Coturnix japonica: one gene and its partners. The protein of the gene in region 3 purifies or fractionates together with the protein of the main gene of each other region. This does not show direct contact. Links are inferred from orthologs where the notes say so. Each region holds a gene or a part of one and is shown on either strand. Other genes may lie near its edges. The genes, in order: SOX2, ATMIN, UBR5 and DYRK2.

Region 1 (4,075 bases), on a different chromosome or scaffold from region 3:
AATACAACTACGGAAAATGAGGAGGAAAAAAAAAAAAAAAAAAAAAAAAAAAAAGTTATGAAAGAAGGCTTCATGTTACTCTGCCAGTGTTCTTATGTCCTGAAGAGGTATGGTTAGCCTAAATAATTTTGTTCAATTACTAATATATGTTGAGAGGAAAAAAAAAAAAAAAAAAAAAAAAAAAAAAGGAACTTAAAATATCATCACAATAAATGTACAGAAATATTACAAACCATAAGAAAATATTTCAAACACAGTAAGTTCAGGTTGGGGTTGGGGGGGGGGGGATTGTTTGTTTGTTTTTTTCCTTCTCTTTGAACGGGATGAAGTCTGGAAACAAAAAAGTTATTATAAATTAACAAACGGCGTGTGAACCTTCATGGCCTTTTGTTTTGTTTTTTTTTCTTGCTTTTTAACCAGAAGTAAAAAAGAAAATAAAAGCAAAACGTCGTACATCGAAACGTTTGCCCTCTCCCAGCAAACCAAGCCCACGGCTCGCCAGTCTTCCTCCTACCGCTTTTGCCTTTTGTACAATTTCCAAACCAATTTTCAACGTCCAAATGCTGCAAAATAATTCCCTCTCCTCCCGCAGCTGCCGTCAGCAGAGCTGCCACGGCCACGGTGCTCCACGGAGAGTCTGTGTGGTCAAAAAATCACTCGCGAATTCTCGGCTTTGATTTCTCCCCTCTCCCTATGAGCGATGGACATTCTGATTGCCATGTGGAGTTTGATAAATACTGTACAAAAGTTGCCTGCAAATATTCAAACGTTCTCCTCTCCGCTCTTGGAGTCTAAGCTCTAAATATTACCGGTGAAGACTTTTGCAAACTTTTCCTGCAAAGTTCCTACCGTTCTCACTAGAACTTTAAAAAAGTTTTGTGTAGTCGCTTCCCCTCCGAGCTCTATACAAGTTCCTTTGTCGGCTTTATTTCTGACCCCCTCCCTGCCCCCCCCCCACCCCCTCCCCTTCCCCCCCAGAGTTTTCTCTGTACAAAAATAGTCCAAAAAAAAACCACCAAAAAACAAAAACCAACAAAAACAAAACAAAACAAAACAAAAAGTCCAGAATTTCTAATAAAAGTTTTTTGTTGTTGTTGTTGTTTGTTTGTTTTGTTTAGTTCTCCTTCCCCCCCCACCCCCACCCCGCCCCCCCGGCCCCTTTGTCTTACATACATTTGAGTAGAAGGGAGTGTGCCATTAATGGCTGTGCCAGGAACAGGTGCACTCTGGTAGTGTTGGGACATATGAAGTCTGCTTGGGGCAGCTGGTTCTGGTACTTCAGCACCTGGTAGATACATGCTGATCATGTCCCGAAGGTCCCCGGCTTGGCAAGGAGCCCTCGAATGAGACGAGGAGGTGACTACGGGGGGACTGGAGCTGGATTCCGTCTTGACCACCGAGCCCATGGAGCCCAGGGCCATGCCCGGGGTCCCTTGCTGGGAGTACGACATGCTGTAGGTAGGCGATCCGTTCATGTACGTCTGCGAGCTGGTCATGGAGTTGTACTGCAGGGCGCTCACGTCGTAGCGGTGCATGGGCTGCATCTGCGCCGCGTTGTGCGCGTTCAAGCCCGGGTGCTGCGGGTAGCCGAGCTGCTCTTGCATCATCCCATAGCCTCCGTTGGTCCAGCCGTTCATGTGCGCGTAACTGTCCATCCTCTGGTTCACCCCAGCTCCCAAGGTGGCCCCAACCCCTACCCCGGTCGTCATGGTATTGGTGCCCGGCGCCAGTAAGCCCCCTGGCAACGTGTACTTATCCTTCTTCATCAGGGTCTTGGTTTTCCGCCGGGGCCGGTATTTATAATCCGGGTGCTCCTTCATGTGCAGGGCCCGCAGCCGCTTGGCCTCGTCGATGAAGGGCCGCTTCTCCGCCTCGGACAGCAGCTTCCACTCGGCCCCGAGCCGTTTGCTGATCTCCGAGTTGTGCATCTTGGGGTTCTCCTGGGCCATCTTCCGCCGCTGCCCCCTCGACCACACCATGAAGGCGTTCATGGGGCGCTTGACGCGGTCCGGGCTGTTCTTCTGGTTGTTCGCGGCCGAGTTGGAGTTGCCTGTGCCTCCCCCCGAAGTTTGCTGGGGGGCGGGAGGTTTCAGCTCGGTTTCCATCATGTTGTACATTCAAACTACTTTTGCCTGGAACCAGCCCGGAGCGGAGAAGCGGAGCGGAGCGGCGCCCAAGTCCCGAGCCGGACTTCTTTTTTTTTCTCTCTCTCTTTTTTTTTTTTTTTTTTTTTTCCTAGGGAGGGGTATGAAGGGGGGGAGGGGGACTCCCCAAAACCACACTTGGATCGAGATCAGAATCTTCCTCTTCGCTGATGGATTAATAATGCTAATAACTGCTATTATTACCGCCGGAGCCTCGGATTTAAAAAACTTCTTCCTCCTTTTTCCCTTTTCTCTGCCTGCCGCCCTCTCTCTCTCCCTCTCTCTCTCTCTCTCCACCTCGGTCTTAAAGAGCCAGCAAACTACTTTACCCCCTTTTGCAAACACACACACTCTCTCTCTCTGCCTTGACAACTCCTGATACTTTTTTGAACAAGTTAATAGACAACCATCCATGTGATGGGGGCTTGTCAGGGAATAAATGCGTTCGCCCCGGCCAATCAGCGCTCGGCGGCTCCGCCACTGAGGACAAGTCTCTACCCCTGGTTTTGCATGAAACGGGGCGGGGGCTCTCAGCCGCCGGGACGGCGCGGCGGGGGGGGGCGGGCCCAGGGCCGGCCCAGGCAGCCACTGGGAAGCCTTTGTATCTCCCCTTCCAGCAACAGGTCACACACGCCTTTTGGAGGAAGTGGGTAAACAGCATTGTTGCTACGTTGCTTTTTTTTTTCTTTTTTTTTAAGTCGATGTTGGAAGAAGCCATAAGGGGAGCAGGAATGGAGGAATGGTTTCCCCTCCACCCCCCGCCCCGTTGCGGTGTCCCCTGAGCCGTCCGGCTGCGTGTGCAGCGCTCGCCCCGTCCGTGGGGAGCGGAGCCCCCGCCCCGGGGCTGCCCCGCCGACAGGAGCCGAGCGGGCCCCGAGCAGAACGGGGCCGGCCGTGCCCTTCTCTCTCCCTCCTTCCATCGTGGGGTGCCCGCTGGAAGCAGGAGCGGAGAACCCCCGACGGCCCTCCCGGCACAACGCGGTGCGCGGCCTGCAGCCCCGGGACGCGTCCCGTGTGCGATGCTGGGTGGGCGCGCCGGGCGGGGGGGCGGCCCGTAGGACAAATAGGTAGTTTTGTTTCTCTTGTTGTCGCTACACGGGGCTGCACAAAGCCCCGGCTAAGTTTACTTCCACTCTCTTGTTGGGATCTTTGTTGCTAAAACGCACTTGACGACAAAGGAAGGAGGGGAGAGAAAGGGGGGCGGAAGGGGGGGGGGGGGCTCTAACCAGCCCCACTCTACGCGCACTGCCGCGCCCCGACGGCGCTGTTCTGCCCGCGGCCGCGCTCCCCGGCAGCGCCGAGGCCCCCCGAGAAGGGCCCCCCGAGAAGCGCGGCCCCAAGCAGGGCCGGGTTGGGGCCGGGGCAGCGCCCGGGCGCCCCGCGAGGGCTCAGCCGCGGCACTGCGGCTCCCCCTGCCGGCACCGTGCGGAGCAGCGGGAGATGGAGTGGGGGGAAGGGAGCGGCCGTGCCCCCCCCCCGCCCTCCCCCGTCCTGGTAACGCGTAGAAAAAGTGCGGCGGGAGAGGGTGCATCTCTGGATTATGCAAATAAATGTGATCGGCTTTAACGCGTGTAATTCGAAGGTGTATTTATATATATATATATATAACCTGGAGAGAAGAGACGGGTTGAAAGCGTCGGAAAATGGGCGCGCGTTGCGGGATGCGCGCACCGGGTGATGCGCGATTTTTGCGCGGCCCGACTGCCCCCGCGCCGACAGCTTTTATTGGTCGTGCACGGGGCTGCGGTTGATAACAACGTTCCAAATCATAACGATAATATTACAGCTTTGGGGATAATGAAGTTTGAAAAGCGGGCAGGAGCGGGCGGTGGTGGTGTAACAAACGGATACCGGAGCGCGGCTCCGCGCGGGGCCGGGCCCCTTCCTCACTGCGTTTATCGCACCCATAAAGGATGGGAATTGCCCAACAA
Region 2 (3,561 bases), on a different chromosome or scaffold from region 3:
CCATGGTTGTAGAAACAGACACAAACCTAACTCCAAATATAGAAGAAACTCCATCTATTGTCATACAAACACACATAGAAGGCAACAAGACATGATGTAAGACAGAACTCTATTTTTTTTTTCTCTTTTTTTTGAGGGCTGTTTTGTGCTTCTCACAGAACGTGTGTCCTACATTTACTTGTTTCCCTTGTTAAAATTTTCACATACCTTGAAAATGGAACACAGTTCACTTTTCTAACAGTGTTCTCTCAGAAGCCAAAAGTTTCAAGTACACTACTCAGCTTTGCCCACCCATGCACAATAACATCCAATGGGGGATAATATTTGTATTCTGTATTTTGACAATACGAAGGAAATGCACAAGTCTACCACTAATCAGACTAATTAAACTACTAATTGAGTTTTAGAATAATATTTACAGACTTCCAGATCAAGAGCTAGCAATGGCAGCGTAACTTAATGAAGCAGGAAAAGCAAAGAGAAAGCACAAGTAATATTAGTATCACTTCCAGATAAAAGTTTGTGCTATGAGGTTGTGGACAACCTGATGTTACTTCTCATATAGCGGCTCAAATGGCAGCGGAGGACACAGAGGAGAGAATTAACAAAACAGTAAGTCACTACTGACCAATACTTACAACAGAGTCAGTGCCTTGAAAATCAAATCAGAGACAAACTGCAGAAAAAGGGAGATAAGTATCATTTTAGTACTACCAAGAAATAGCTCTCAGAGAAGTTTATTTTGAAAACAATGCTCAAAATAGTCAATTACCCATTTAAAGTAAATTGTTTCACTTTTAAGAATAAGTAATATTGACTCATGATATTTCGGACCAGGTTTCAGTAGCTTTCCTGTGGGATCCAGCAACTATAAACAGCCTGATTGCAGCCTTTGCGTTTGCAGAAAAACATTTAATATATCCAAACTGAAAGACACAGGGCACCAGCGTAGGATTCTGATACCTATCAGATACTGTGTTGAATTAAGTATGGCAATTTAAAGAGGGGTGAGATGAGATAATAAAATCAAAAGGTATTGCTCATTTTCAAGACAACAAGCTAGTTGTGTTGGGTGAGTAACTGCACTCCCATATCCTCGAGCTGAGGATATGAAGCTGTGCACAAAGCATAGCAAGTCTTTGAAAACTACAGCTGAGACATCTGTTACTGGTGGGACGCCTAGTAAACACATAACCAGTACATCCAACAGCAGAGGAGTAAAGCCCGGGAATATGACATAAAGATGTTTCATTTTTCAGTTAACGTAATAGAAACTAAAACCTGTCCAGGACAAAACCAGAGGCCTACATTTCTGCAGGCACTACAACAAGATAAGAATCAGTTAAGGCCAAATTCCAGCATACATTCACAACCGGCTTTGTATTCTTCCATGTCAATACATCTGCTACAAGCACAATACGAAGGGTAAAATAAACATACAGAAATCCAAGAGGTCACATGTTTGTCTTTGACAGATCAGTCCCAGTTTTTGATTACAACTCAGAAAACTTTCCAAAAGCTGCAGGAAGCACCTGCTGCAGATCAATGTGCAAAAGCAAAATACATCTTTTCTGAAAGGGTTTTTGTGAGCACATCTTCCGGCCTTGTTGTATGCAGTTGAGTTTGCATCAGTTCTGGAAGCTGAAATCCAAGTATAGGTAAAGAATTCAGTTTCTCAACTTTGATGGTTTTTGTTAAGGTAGTGGAAATATAAACCATTGTGACATTTCCCAACTTACATCTTTGTGGAAACTAGGGGGATTTCAGAGAAAACAAACTATTCCAGTTTTTGAGGCACAAACATCGTAACATTTGTGTCTTACAGTAAGAAATAATTCAAGCAAATCCCTTCAAAGAGTTTAAATTACTTTAGTCCCATTTATGACACGAGCTAAAAGGACATCATAACAATTTTCCAAGTGATTATGCATTCTAAGCTCTTTTTCTACCCTTCAATGGGCATTAGTAGCATCTGGGAAGAACAGCTACTGCTTTCTACATATTTTGCAGATCATTGGTATTCCATAATTCAAGTCTACATGTATCTATGGCTGTTGGACGGGTGTTCAGAACACTGCAACTTAAACAGGAGAAAGAGCTGTGAAGGCATAAAGGAAAAAACAATACGGCTTATTATGTTCATACCAGACACTAAGCTCCTAAAAAACATCAACAGAAGTAGCTTACACTAAGAGAATTCAGGGAAGCATCTGAATTGGACAGGGCAGGTTTTGGTCTAGCACAGTGGAACCCTATACATAAGCCAGAAATAGATATACATGGAGATATACATGGGACACTTTCAAAAGGTTCTTCGGTTTAAATGAAGCAGTTTGTAAAGAAGATTGAGCAAAAAACATAGGCACCACAAACTGTTTTTTTAAGGTTCAAATGTACATTAACATGTTTTGTCCCCCTCCCAACCCCCCCCTTATGCACATATAACTTATATTGAAGTTACATTTTCAGTGAAGTACCTTCAGCATGAAAAGTCTTTTAGGCCAACCGCACACAATAACTACATTCAACAATGTGAAATGGGTTACTTGGTCGATGCATCTCTCCCACCCCAATAACTTAATTTCAAACCACAGGAAACAGTTCTGTTGCACAGCACTCAATGACTGGGCTTGTCAGAGCTCTGAAACAAGGAGCACAGCTCTTCACAGGTCTGTGTTTCTACTGAACTGAACTGGGACTCCATTGTATTCCAGGCTAAGTCAGCTAGAAGAAAGTCATCCATTGCTGTCTGCGTCTCGTTGCTGGTAAGGAATAAATTCCCAAGATTCTCAAAGCAGCTATCCATAGTCTGTGTTTCAGCACTACTGAGCTGGACTTTGCTTTCTATGTTCTGATTAGGTACGTTTTTAGTGGCAGGATATACTTCTGTCTGGGTTTCTGTATCTGATGAGTCAGTGCTCATGGAGAAACTAGACTGCTTCAGAATACTCCCTAAAGGCAGATGGGTATTGCTGTCCAAAAAGAAATTCAAGTCTGTCTGCGTCTGCGTATCAAACATCTCCAAGCCTAAGAAGTTAGAATTTCCTCTGCAGCTATATGATTGAGTGGCACTATCTGAAAATAAGAAATCAGTTTGAGTTTCGATGTCCAGTGACTCCAAAACTGGCTCAGAGGGCAGGGTACCAAGCTCACTCTCTTCAGTCTGAGTTTGGATATTGGATGCTGAAAAGAACTCTTCAATGTCAAAGTCTATTCCAGTGCTCTGTGATGAACCAGATGGCAGATGCGTGTCAGCATTAGAACTAGTCTCAGACAAAAGGCCACGATTATCCAGTGTCTGGCCAGACATGTTTCCTGAAAAGATATTTTCCAGATCACTTAGCAAGTCCATTGTCTGGGTTTGATTATCCATTGTATTTTGAGGTGGAAGTATATTAGCCTGGGTACTGAAGCCAATAAGAGATTCAGACTTCACTGTGTCTTGATTGAGGCTCTTGCAATTACTCCTTTGCAGCAAGGTTTGATCTATGTTTGTAGTCATTAAGTTATTTTCTGGAAGTTCAATTTGAGTAGCAACATTAAATGACGAATGAACATTTT
Region 3 (4,301 bases):
TTGGTTCTTAATCTGCGGGTCATCCTGATTTTTCTCACCTTAAAACTTTCATATTCAGTTCAAATAGAACACATTGCTAACGGGGTGCGGGGGGAGGGAGGAATGGGGGGGAGGAAGGGGATGAAACCTGAGGTTGCCCATCTTCCCCAATAAACCCACCATAAAAGGCTTAACTACCTCATCCAAAACCCAAGTGCAGCCTGTCACTTATTTCAAATGAATGAATCCTAACAGCTCCAGAAGCAAAGCTAACAGTGTACTCTATGGGCCTCCTCCAGTGCAGCTAGTTTGTTTCTGGACATCTGAATGAGCACCACAAACGAGCAAATGTTGGAAGCAGAGAGAGGTCTAATGAGTGCCATCAAGGCGCAATGCGAACCATTCCCAACAATGCTCATTAAGGAGCACTGTCCCATTACACTTGTGCCATCAGCCAAATTGTAGAGTTCTAACGTTACTTTTTTTGCTGCAAAGCGTTTCCCCGTTCTCCAAGTTGCTGTACGAGCAAGAGGCACAAATAATTACACAGAAAATGAGTAAAAGCTGCAGGACAGAAATGACACAAACTGCACCAACCCAAGCTGAAGAGAACTGCCACCTCATGTTGTGCAGACAGCCCAAGAGCAGAACAATACTTCAACAGAACCATGCCTTCCAAATTCAATTCACCCACTTGCCATATCTACACATGATTAAGCATAGTGTTATCAAATACGTTCTTATAAAATACCGAAAGCCATCAGGTATCCTGAACACATCAAGATCACAGGTTTGAAACGTGATTACTGCATCCATGAAAGGAACACAGAATCACACAGAATCACAGAATGACCCGGGTTGGAAGGGACCTCAAGGATCATGTAGTTCCAAACCCCTGCCTGGCAGGGCCACCAAACATACACATTTACTACATCAGGTTGCCCAGGGCCCCGTCCAACCTGGTCTTGAACACCTCCAAGGACGGGGCATCCACAATCTCCCTGGGCAGCCTGTTCCAGGGCCTAACCACTCTCCTAGTGAAGAACTTCCCCCTAACATCCAACCTAAATCTTCCCTCTTTCAACTTAAAACCATTTCCCTGTGTCCTGTTCTGTATGGCATCCCACCATACAGAAATAAGTTCCAAGATCCTAAATGCTACCTGCATAAATATGAAAACTCACTAAGCCCTCTTGATCGTTACCTATAAGGACAGAACAGCTACCAATAACACTGACCTGGTATTTCCAGCACCCTATCTGTTAATCACTGCAGCTTCACCACACTACAAGTTCTGATGCACAGCCACCGCACTTGTTGTCAAATCCCACTTACAAAATGGAAATGTTTGCCTTGCAGCTCAGATCAAGAGCTACCTGATTTTTTTTCAGAACAAGACACTTCAGGGCACTTCTGCTGCCTTTGCCATCTATTAATTACCACACCTGATGAAGCTTCCTGTACTCAAGCAGAAGTCATAAGTGCTGCTGCAGCAGTACAGAGTAGAAACAATAAATAACCTGGGAAGCATTATGAAGAATTCAGGGCCACCATTTTAAATGGTAAGTCAATACAATACATGACATTAAAGAAAAAAATGACAAGCTCTCTCACTCCAACCAAGGCATCATAATTACATGCTAAATATTTTCTGAAGGGTCTATCGACATTAAAAAATAAAAGATATGGGAAAACCACTGGGGTTCTTTCAGGTTTAAAGTCCTCAATCACCGCCCTAAGTCAAAACAGCCCAAGGAGGAAAGAGAACTCCTAGCACAGCATCACCTGTCTGTCACTCTAAGGGAGAGGGCCACATGCCAGAGCTGTGTGGCATCCACATTCTTCACTAGGAGAGTGGTTAGGCCCTGGAACAGGCTGCCCAGGGAGGTTGTGGATGCCCCATCCTTGGAGGTATTCAAGACCAGGTTGGACGGGGCCCTGGGCAACCTGATCTAGTAAAGGTGTATGTTTGGTGGCCCTGCCAGGCAGGGGGGTTGGAACTACATGATCCTTGCGGTCCCTTCCAACCCGGGTCATTCTGTGACTCTGTGTGATCCAGCAGGCAGCCAAGAAACCCCCTTACAAGTGGGCAGGCCTCCTTAGGGTCAGGTCCTGCAAAACGCATCAGCAGGTTAAGGAATAGACACATCACATCAACACGTTGCAAGTCCAGGTCCCATTTTATCAACACAAGTTTCCTCTCCCTCTGAAAGGGCAGGGATGATGCAGTTTGGCAGAAGTTTTATCTCTATGCTGACCTATTTTCCTTGCCATGAGCTCTGGGACCTCAGCTGTGCATTAACAGAGATGTCTCAGCAGAGATTCCTCGCTTCTCCTAATGCAAAGTGCCAACAGCAGCAAAGTTAGCTGGACCCCGACCTACCCTGCAGCCTGGTGAGATGAGAAACCAGAGGAACGTTACTAAGAGCCAACACTTCCAGAAATTATAAATATCAGGAAGATACTATAAAAAACAAGTAACGTTTTTCAGCAGTGTAAAAAAAAAATAAAAAAGTCAGTCTCTATACAGAGACGATTAAAAATCCTAAGTTATTCGCACATATATCCCTGAGAAACAAAGATTAAGACCTACACGTTCTTAAGAATGCCGAGATAAGGGCAGCAGTGGCATTTACAAACTACCATGCAGGCTGATCGCGATTACTGCAGGAAAACACCGGGCTGCAACACAGAACGCTGTCAAACCCGCACCAATCAGGCAGAAGAACTCGCTTCCAAGATGTATTTTCTCCCGAGCGCTCCGCTTTCCCCCCATCCGCAGCGACAGATAAAGTTGCCCACGAGGTCTCCGGGCCGATCGTCGCAGCGGCCATCAGGAGGAGACGGGCCGTGCCTTTATCAGCTCAGCAGGCGCACGGCCCGGCAGGCAGCGAGGAGCAGCGGAGCACAGCAGAGCACAGCGGAGCACAGCACAGCGATCCCCATACACCCCTCTGCCCACCCCGCATGGCGCTCCCCCGCCCCCCCAGTAGCCCGGAGCTCCTCTGGGGAGCAGGGGGGGGCAAACTTTGGGGCCCAGGCTGCGCAGACACGGGGGTTCCGAGCCCCCACGGGACGGCAGCGGGGCGGCAGCACGTAGGGACGGGGGATCCCTCGGCGCCGCCCGGAGCTCCCCGGTCCCTCCCCCGCCCCGCCGGGGGCCGAGCCGCGCCGGCGGCCCCTCCCCTCCGCCCCCCGCCGCGCGGGGCCTGCCCCTCACCGGTCATTGAGCTGATCCTCGGTGCCCGGCAGCGGGTGCACCACGAAGTGGATCGAGGTCATGGTCGGCGCCGCCGCCGCCGCCCCCCCCGGCGGCGGGAGGGAGGGAGGCGGGCGGGCGGGGGCCGGGCACACAATGGGGGCGGGGGGGAGGGGGGCGCTCGGCCTCCTGCCCTCCCCCGGGGTCGCTCGAGGCCGTCGGCGGAGCGCTGGGCTCGCTGGGAGACGCGCAGGACTCGAAGGAGGGGCCGGCCGAGCTACGGCGCCGCCGGAAAGAGGCTGGTCCCACACCGCGCTCACACACGCGCCGCCATCTTAACTTCCAGCGGGCCCTTCTCCCTCCCTCCGTGCGCCGAGCCGGGCGGGGCGGGGCCGCGCCGCGTCGCCACGCTGCAAGGCTCGCGCCGATTGGCGGGCGCGCTGCCGGGCGGGGCCGTTCCACTAAAACCGCCGCCGATAGGTGCGAGCCTCGCGCCGTGCGCGGTGACGTCATGCGCGAGGGACGTAGTAGATCACGTGAGGGGGGGCGATGAAAGGCCCGGCCCGCGCCTCAGGGAGCCCCGCTCCGCCCCTCCCCCTGCGTCCCCCATCCCTCCCCCATCCCTCCGCAGCCGCCTGGTGCGCAGGACGCGGGTGAATCCACGGCCGGGTCCGGGGTCTCCTGCTCTATTTCCCCGTACGTCCGCTCTCGGGTGTCTGTGGTGCTGGAAGGATACGTGTAAGTTGTGTGCCCCGGTGGCGCAGTGGTAGCAATGCCGCGTTGCAACACCTGAGGCCCTGGGTTCGAATCCCCCTGTGGCGCAAGTGGTAGAAGTGCCGCTCTGCTACACAGAGGCTCGAATCCCGGGGGTTGGACTCGATGATCTCTAAGGTCCCTTCCAACCCGCACCAGACTGTGGTCCCTGCATCCTTGGGGATGTTTCTACTATATTTAGTAGAACTTGGGAAGATACAGTTAATTTATGTTTGCTCCCAGGATTAAAACCTAGTTTCCGAAGCACTGACATTTCCAAATAACACGACTTGTTCAATGGAGTTCTATGAAGGGCTGGATATAAGGGTGAGATTTCAATTACTTTCAATTAGTCTATTCCTTCCGCCCT
Region 4 (4,130 bases), on a different chromosome or scaffold from region 3:
AACACTGATGGTGCAAGTTCTTTAGTTTCAATGTGGATGTGTTTGTGGAAACAATGGGAAAACACCAAGAGACACCAGAAAACAGCATTTATAGCCCTGGTAGTGAAGGGATGGGAAATGTGCGGTGTCTGGGTACATCTGGGGGTTATAGAGGGGCACAAAGCTGCAGGGAAGGGAAAAGGTTGGGTGGGTGCAGGCTGGAAAAGGTAGGATTGTTTTCTCTCTGCAACAGGAGGGACTGAGGAAAGTGTTTATTTCTTTGTACCAGCACAGGAAATGTCTTTGTTTACACATTTATCTGTGGCACTGGAAAAGGCCAAGTCTTCCTCTCCAGCTGCAGGGATGGAGTTCTTTTTTTCTCAGGAAAGGGAAGATTTATTTGTCTGCCTTTCTCTGCGGCAGGGAATGAAGGGAGGTCTGCCTGTGGCAGGGGATGAAGGGAGCTCTGCTTGCAACCCCACTGGCTGCTTCAGAAGGGAAAATACACGCGATCCGTACACATTTCCAAGCGGGTTGAGCGTAGGCAGGAGAGTTCATTTCGACGCCGTCCCGGGCTGAGCAAATGTTCAGCTATCTATTTTTGGCTCTCGTGACGTTCAAGCTGACAAACCAGGAATTCAAAGCATTGTACTCGGCGAGGCACACGGCAGAGCAGGGCCCATAACTGCCCCCACCGCGCTCCCTCCCTCTGCATGGAGGCACGGGCCGCTCCGGCCCGACTCTCGAAGCTCTCCCAAGGCACCGCCATGTTGAAGTTTCCATCCCCTCGCACCGACCCTCCCACAGCCAGCGGTGCCACCGTCGTCCTCCCGCGGTGGCGGTGACCCCCTGAGGGCAGGCCCCAACATGGCTGTGACCTGGGGGTGACCAACGGCTCATCCCTTCCCCCTTCACCCCCGCTGGAGGCCGTTGGGCGGTTGCCGGGCGGCAGCGGGGAGCGGAGCGAGGCGAAGTGCGGGCGGGCGCGGGGAGCGCACGGGGACGCGGGGAGGAGCGGAGCGAGGGGAGGCGGCCGGCGGGGCGGGCACTGCCCTTCGGTGCGCTGTTTGTTCTCGTTCCGCCGCCCGAGGAGGAGGGCCCTGTCCGGCCGCCTTCTGCTGCCCCCCTCCCTCCTCCGAGCGAGGGGACCGGGGCGACCGGGGCGGGGGCGGGGGAGGTGATGAGCTTGGGCCGGGGGCTGCGGCGGCGGCGCGGCTGCTGCTGCTGCGGCTGCGGCGGGAGGAGACGGCGGGCCGAAGGAGGCTGTGTCCGGCCGGCCCGGGGCCGGGGGGATGCGGCGGAGGACGCGTCGGGCGCTGGGTGTAGCTGATCGGCGAGGAGAGGCAGCCGCCGCCCAGAGAGGCCGAGGAGAAGCGGAGGAGAGCCGCCCTGACATGCATTTTCCTCTCCCTCCTCTCCAGCGGCCATGTTAACCAAGAAACCCTCAGCGAGCGCCGCCGCCGGCGCTGCCTACCCGGCCGGTAAGGAGCGGGCCGGGCGCCGCGGGGTCGGAACAATGCTGCGGACCAGGGGGGAGAACCGGGGGGAAGGGGGGGGTTCCGGCCGTCGGTGCGAGCGCGGGGCCGCGGCGGCCATCGGCTTCCGATGGCTTCTGCCCGAAGCGGGACGGGGCGGCTCGGGGCCGCCGCTGCCCTCCGCGCTCACCCCTCTGCTCTCCGCAGGCAGGGCAGGGGACAGCGGCCGTCCGCTGCAGTCTTCCCCGGGTGCAGGAGCCGGGGTCTCCCGGGCAGGAGCTGGGACCGGCCCACCGTCGCCCCTCGCATTGCCGCCGCTCAGGGCCAGCAACGCCTCCCACACGGTGAGCACGGGCATGGGAGGGGGTCGGGAGGGTGGTGGTGGTGGTGATGGTGGTGGTGGTGGTGATGGTGGTGGGGGGGTCCACGGAGCGCCGCCGCCTGTCCCGCCCCGCGGGGCGCTCGGGGCCGGTTCTGCAAACTCGGAGCGGAGGAGAGTGTGGGTTCCAGGGCTGGCAGGCTGGAACCGAGCTGCAGAGCGGCTCCCCCTTCCTGCAGCCCCCCTTCGCTCCGCTTTACGTGTCGTTGTCGGTAACAAATTAGATCTTGTGCACAGACAGCGAGGAGCTGTTCTGGTAAACGGGTAAACGCCTTTTTGGGGATGACATTTTGGCAGTGAGGTTAGTCGCTGTGATTAAAGGGTCGCGTGAGCCATGGCGAGGAATGAAGGCTGCTCTCCTATGTCTCTGATTAGCTCAGGCCGATAGCCGTCTTCCCTTGGAAACAGCTGTCGTTGTACTCCAGGGCGACGATTGGATGGATCTGACTTTATTGCTGCGGTGGTTTACCTAAAGAAATAAGCACCGATGCTATGAAAAGGATGTTATTTTCCGGTTCTGTGATATCTCACATTATCTCCCTCTCCCAGTTAATCTACCAGGAATGGAACTTCCCAAGTATGCCACTATATATGGATGAGAGAGGGTATCTCTGTCCTGAAGGCATGACGGGGTAGAGGGAGATGGGGCTGTGTGCCGTCGTGTTAACGCAAAATATCTGACATATTTCTTGCATACATTTCCTTTTAAATGATGAAAAAACTCGTACTGACCCTGAAAGGCATTGATGGCATACTTGGCTTAGAATTAATGAGTTCTCCACGGATGCTCACGTACTATCTTCATAAACATATGGCAGAGCTTTAAACAGTAATGTGATTATGGGCTAGTGGAAGGTGAAACTATGCATTTAGACATTAGCGTTTCGGTGACTTTCTGTATAGCTTCAGGGGTAAAAGCGTCTTATTCAAATCCAGTTATAGAAAGAATTGGCTTAAATGTAATAAATAAATAAATAAGTGCAAGTTTATGTAGGGTGTTTTCAAGAGGAATGATGAATATTCTGCAAATGTGAGGTGGAGCTGCATACTTGAGGTCAACATCGCTGTGTCTCTATGTAGCCAGGATGTATATCTGAATCGTTGGGTACTGCCAAAGGTAGGTTTTTGCACGTTTGCATTCCAGTTAAGTGCTGGTTGATTTGAGAAGTGAGAAAGTGGTCTACGTATTTCTTTTAAGCCAGAAAATAATCATTGTACCGATGGCCTGGGCATGGGTTGTGAAAATACACATCCAGAGATGGGCCCCACTAATAGCAGGGGCTGATGTGTAACAGAGCCCAGACTTAATTTAGAATCTGTGAAAGCCCAGTGGTCCAGTCGTCTGTCTGGGATTGCTGACTAATTTTGGTAGCATGGAACTGTGGTATTTTTATAGATACGCTTGTGTGTGTACGATATATCTATCTACATACACTATATATATATGTGTATAAAGATGAAGTCTTTATGAAAGCTTGCAAGGAGTATTTGAGTATTGCATTTCTGCTTCCAGTATATTTGTAGATGTATCGTCATGCATGTACACATGTTATCTATAGCATATATATGCCGATAGATAGATACGTACATATAGACAGAAAGCCTATGGAAGCATTGAAGGATGATCAAGCATTATACTGCTGTGTTTCAAGTCTCTCTGGGTTCTGACTGCTGCAGACTCTGCTGTGCCTTTGTGACACAGATACTACTCCTCGGTCTTTATTTTACCTTGAGTGCTATTACAGAAATACCTCCGACAGGCTCTGAATTTTTTAGGGCATTATTTTGTGGTTGCCTAACAGAACTTTTTGTGGTAAGGATCAGATGTGACATCAGGATGCTGGATTTTAACCTAAAACAATGGTTATGTGTGGTATGGGAGCGTTCTATAAACTTCAGGCCTGCTGACCTCAGCTGACACTGACTGAAACTATTGGTTTCATCCACTACTTCCTCAAATGAAATGTATTTAAAAATAAACGTTTCAGTTTTCTTAAACCATTTTCTTCCTCTGTATTCATTTGCTTAATCAACCCTGTTGTGCCTGTGTGACTTCTCCAGCAGCTAAAAAATGAAATGAATATTTCTCTTTGGTGTTGCAGACTTTCAGAAGGCGTAGCTTACATAGGCAGCGTATACACATGTGCATTGTGTATACACTGATTGTGAAGGGACACCATGGTGGAAATATTAAGCCAAAAAGTTCTTCTTCTAGTCCAGCTGGAGAAATGCACTACTTGTCATATTTCTTGCAGCAGCTGTATAATCCAGCCTCTAGGAAAACTATTGAATCCTGC

What was found.
Region 1: the proteins of UBR5 (region 3) and SOX2 purify together in Homo sapiens (affinity purification with western blotting; 3 studies listed by BioGRID and IntAct, with this or other methods). This does not show direct contact. The link is inferred for Coturnix japonica from reciprocal best matches to the Homo sapiens genes UBR5 and SOX2.
Region 2: the proteins of UBR5 (region 3) and ATMIN purify together in Homo sapiens (affinity purification with western blotting; 3 studies listed by BioGRID). This does not show direct contact. The link is inferred for Coturnix japonica from reciprocal best matches to the Homo sapiens genes UBR5 and ATMIN.
Region 4: the proteins of UBR5 (region 3) and DYRK2 purify together in Homo sapiens (affinity purification with western blotting; 3 studies listed by BioGRID and IntAct, with this or other methods). This does not show direct contact. The link is inferred for Coturnix japonica from reciprocal best matches to the Homo sapiens genes UBR5 and DYRK2.

What each region holds. Positions count from the first base shown.
Region 1 is NC_029524.1:14,829,355-14,833,429, forward strand, and holds SOX2 (transcription factor SOX-2), read right to left. Parts: upstream 2,826-4,075; 5' UTR 2,118-2,825; coding exon 903-2,117; 3' UTR 262-902; downstream 1-261. UniProt on the Homo sapiens protein: Transcription factor that forms a trimeric complex with OCT4 on DNA and controls the expression of a number of genes involved in embryonic development such as YES1, FGF4, UTF1 and ZFP206. Binds to the proximal enhancer region of NANOG.
Region 2 is NC_029526.1:13,622,730-13,626,290, reverse strand, and holds part of ATMIN (ATM interactor), read right to left. Parts: coding exon 2,618-3,561; 3' UTR 1-2,617. UniProt on the Homo sapiens protein: Transcription factor. Plays a crucial role in cell survival and RAD51 foci formation in response to methylating DNA damage. Involved in regulating the activity of ATM in the absence of DNA damage. May play a role in stabilizing ATM.
Region 3 is NC_029517.1:117,629,340-117,633,640, reverse strand, and holds the start of UBR5 (E3 ubiquitin-protein ligase UBR5), read right to left. Parts: upstream 2,829-4,301; 5' UTR 2,814-2,828; coding exon 2,692-2,813; intron 1-2,691. UniProt on the Homo sapiens protein: E3 ubiquitin-protein ligase involved in different protein quality control pathways in the cytoplasm and nucleus. Mainly acts as a ubiquitin chain elongator that extends pre-ubiquitinated substrates.
Region 4 is NC_029516.1:31,679,887-31,684,016, forward strand, and holds the start of DYRK2 (dual specificity tyrosine-phosphorylation-regulated kinase 2), read left to right. Parts: upstream 1-1,287; 5' UTR 1,288-1,405; coding exon 1,406-1,460; intron 1,461-1,661; coding exon 1,662-1,798; intron 1,799-1,896; exon of another isoform or gene 1,897-2,302; intron 2,303-4,130. UniProt on the Homo sapiens protein: Serine/threonine-protein kinase involved in the regulation of the mitotic cell cycle, cell proliferation, apoptosis, organization of the cytoskeleton and neurite outgrowth. Functions in part via its role in ubiquitin-dependent proteasomal protein degradation.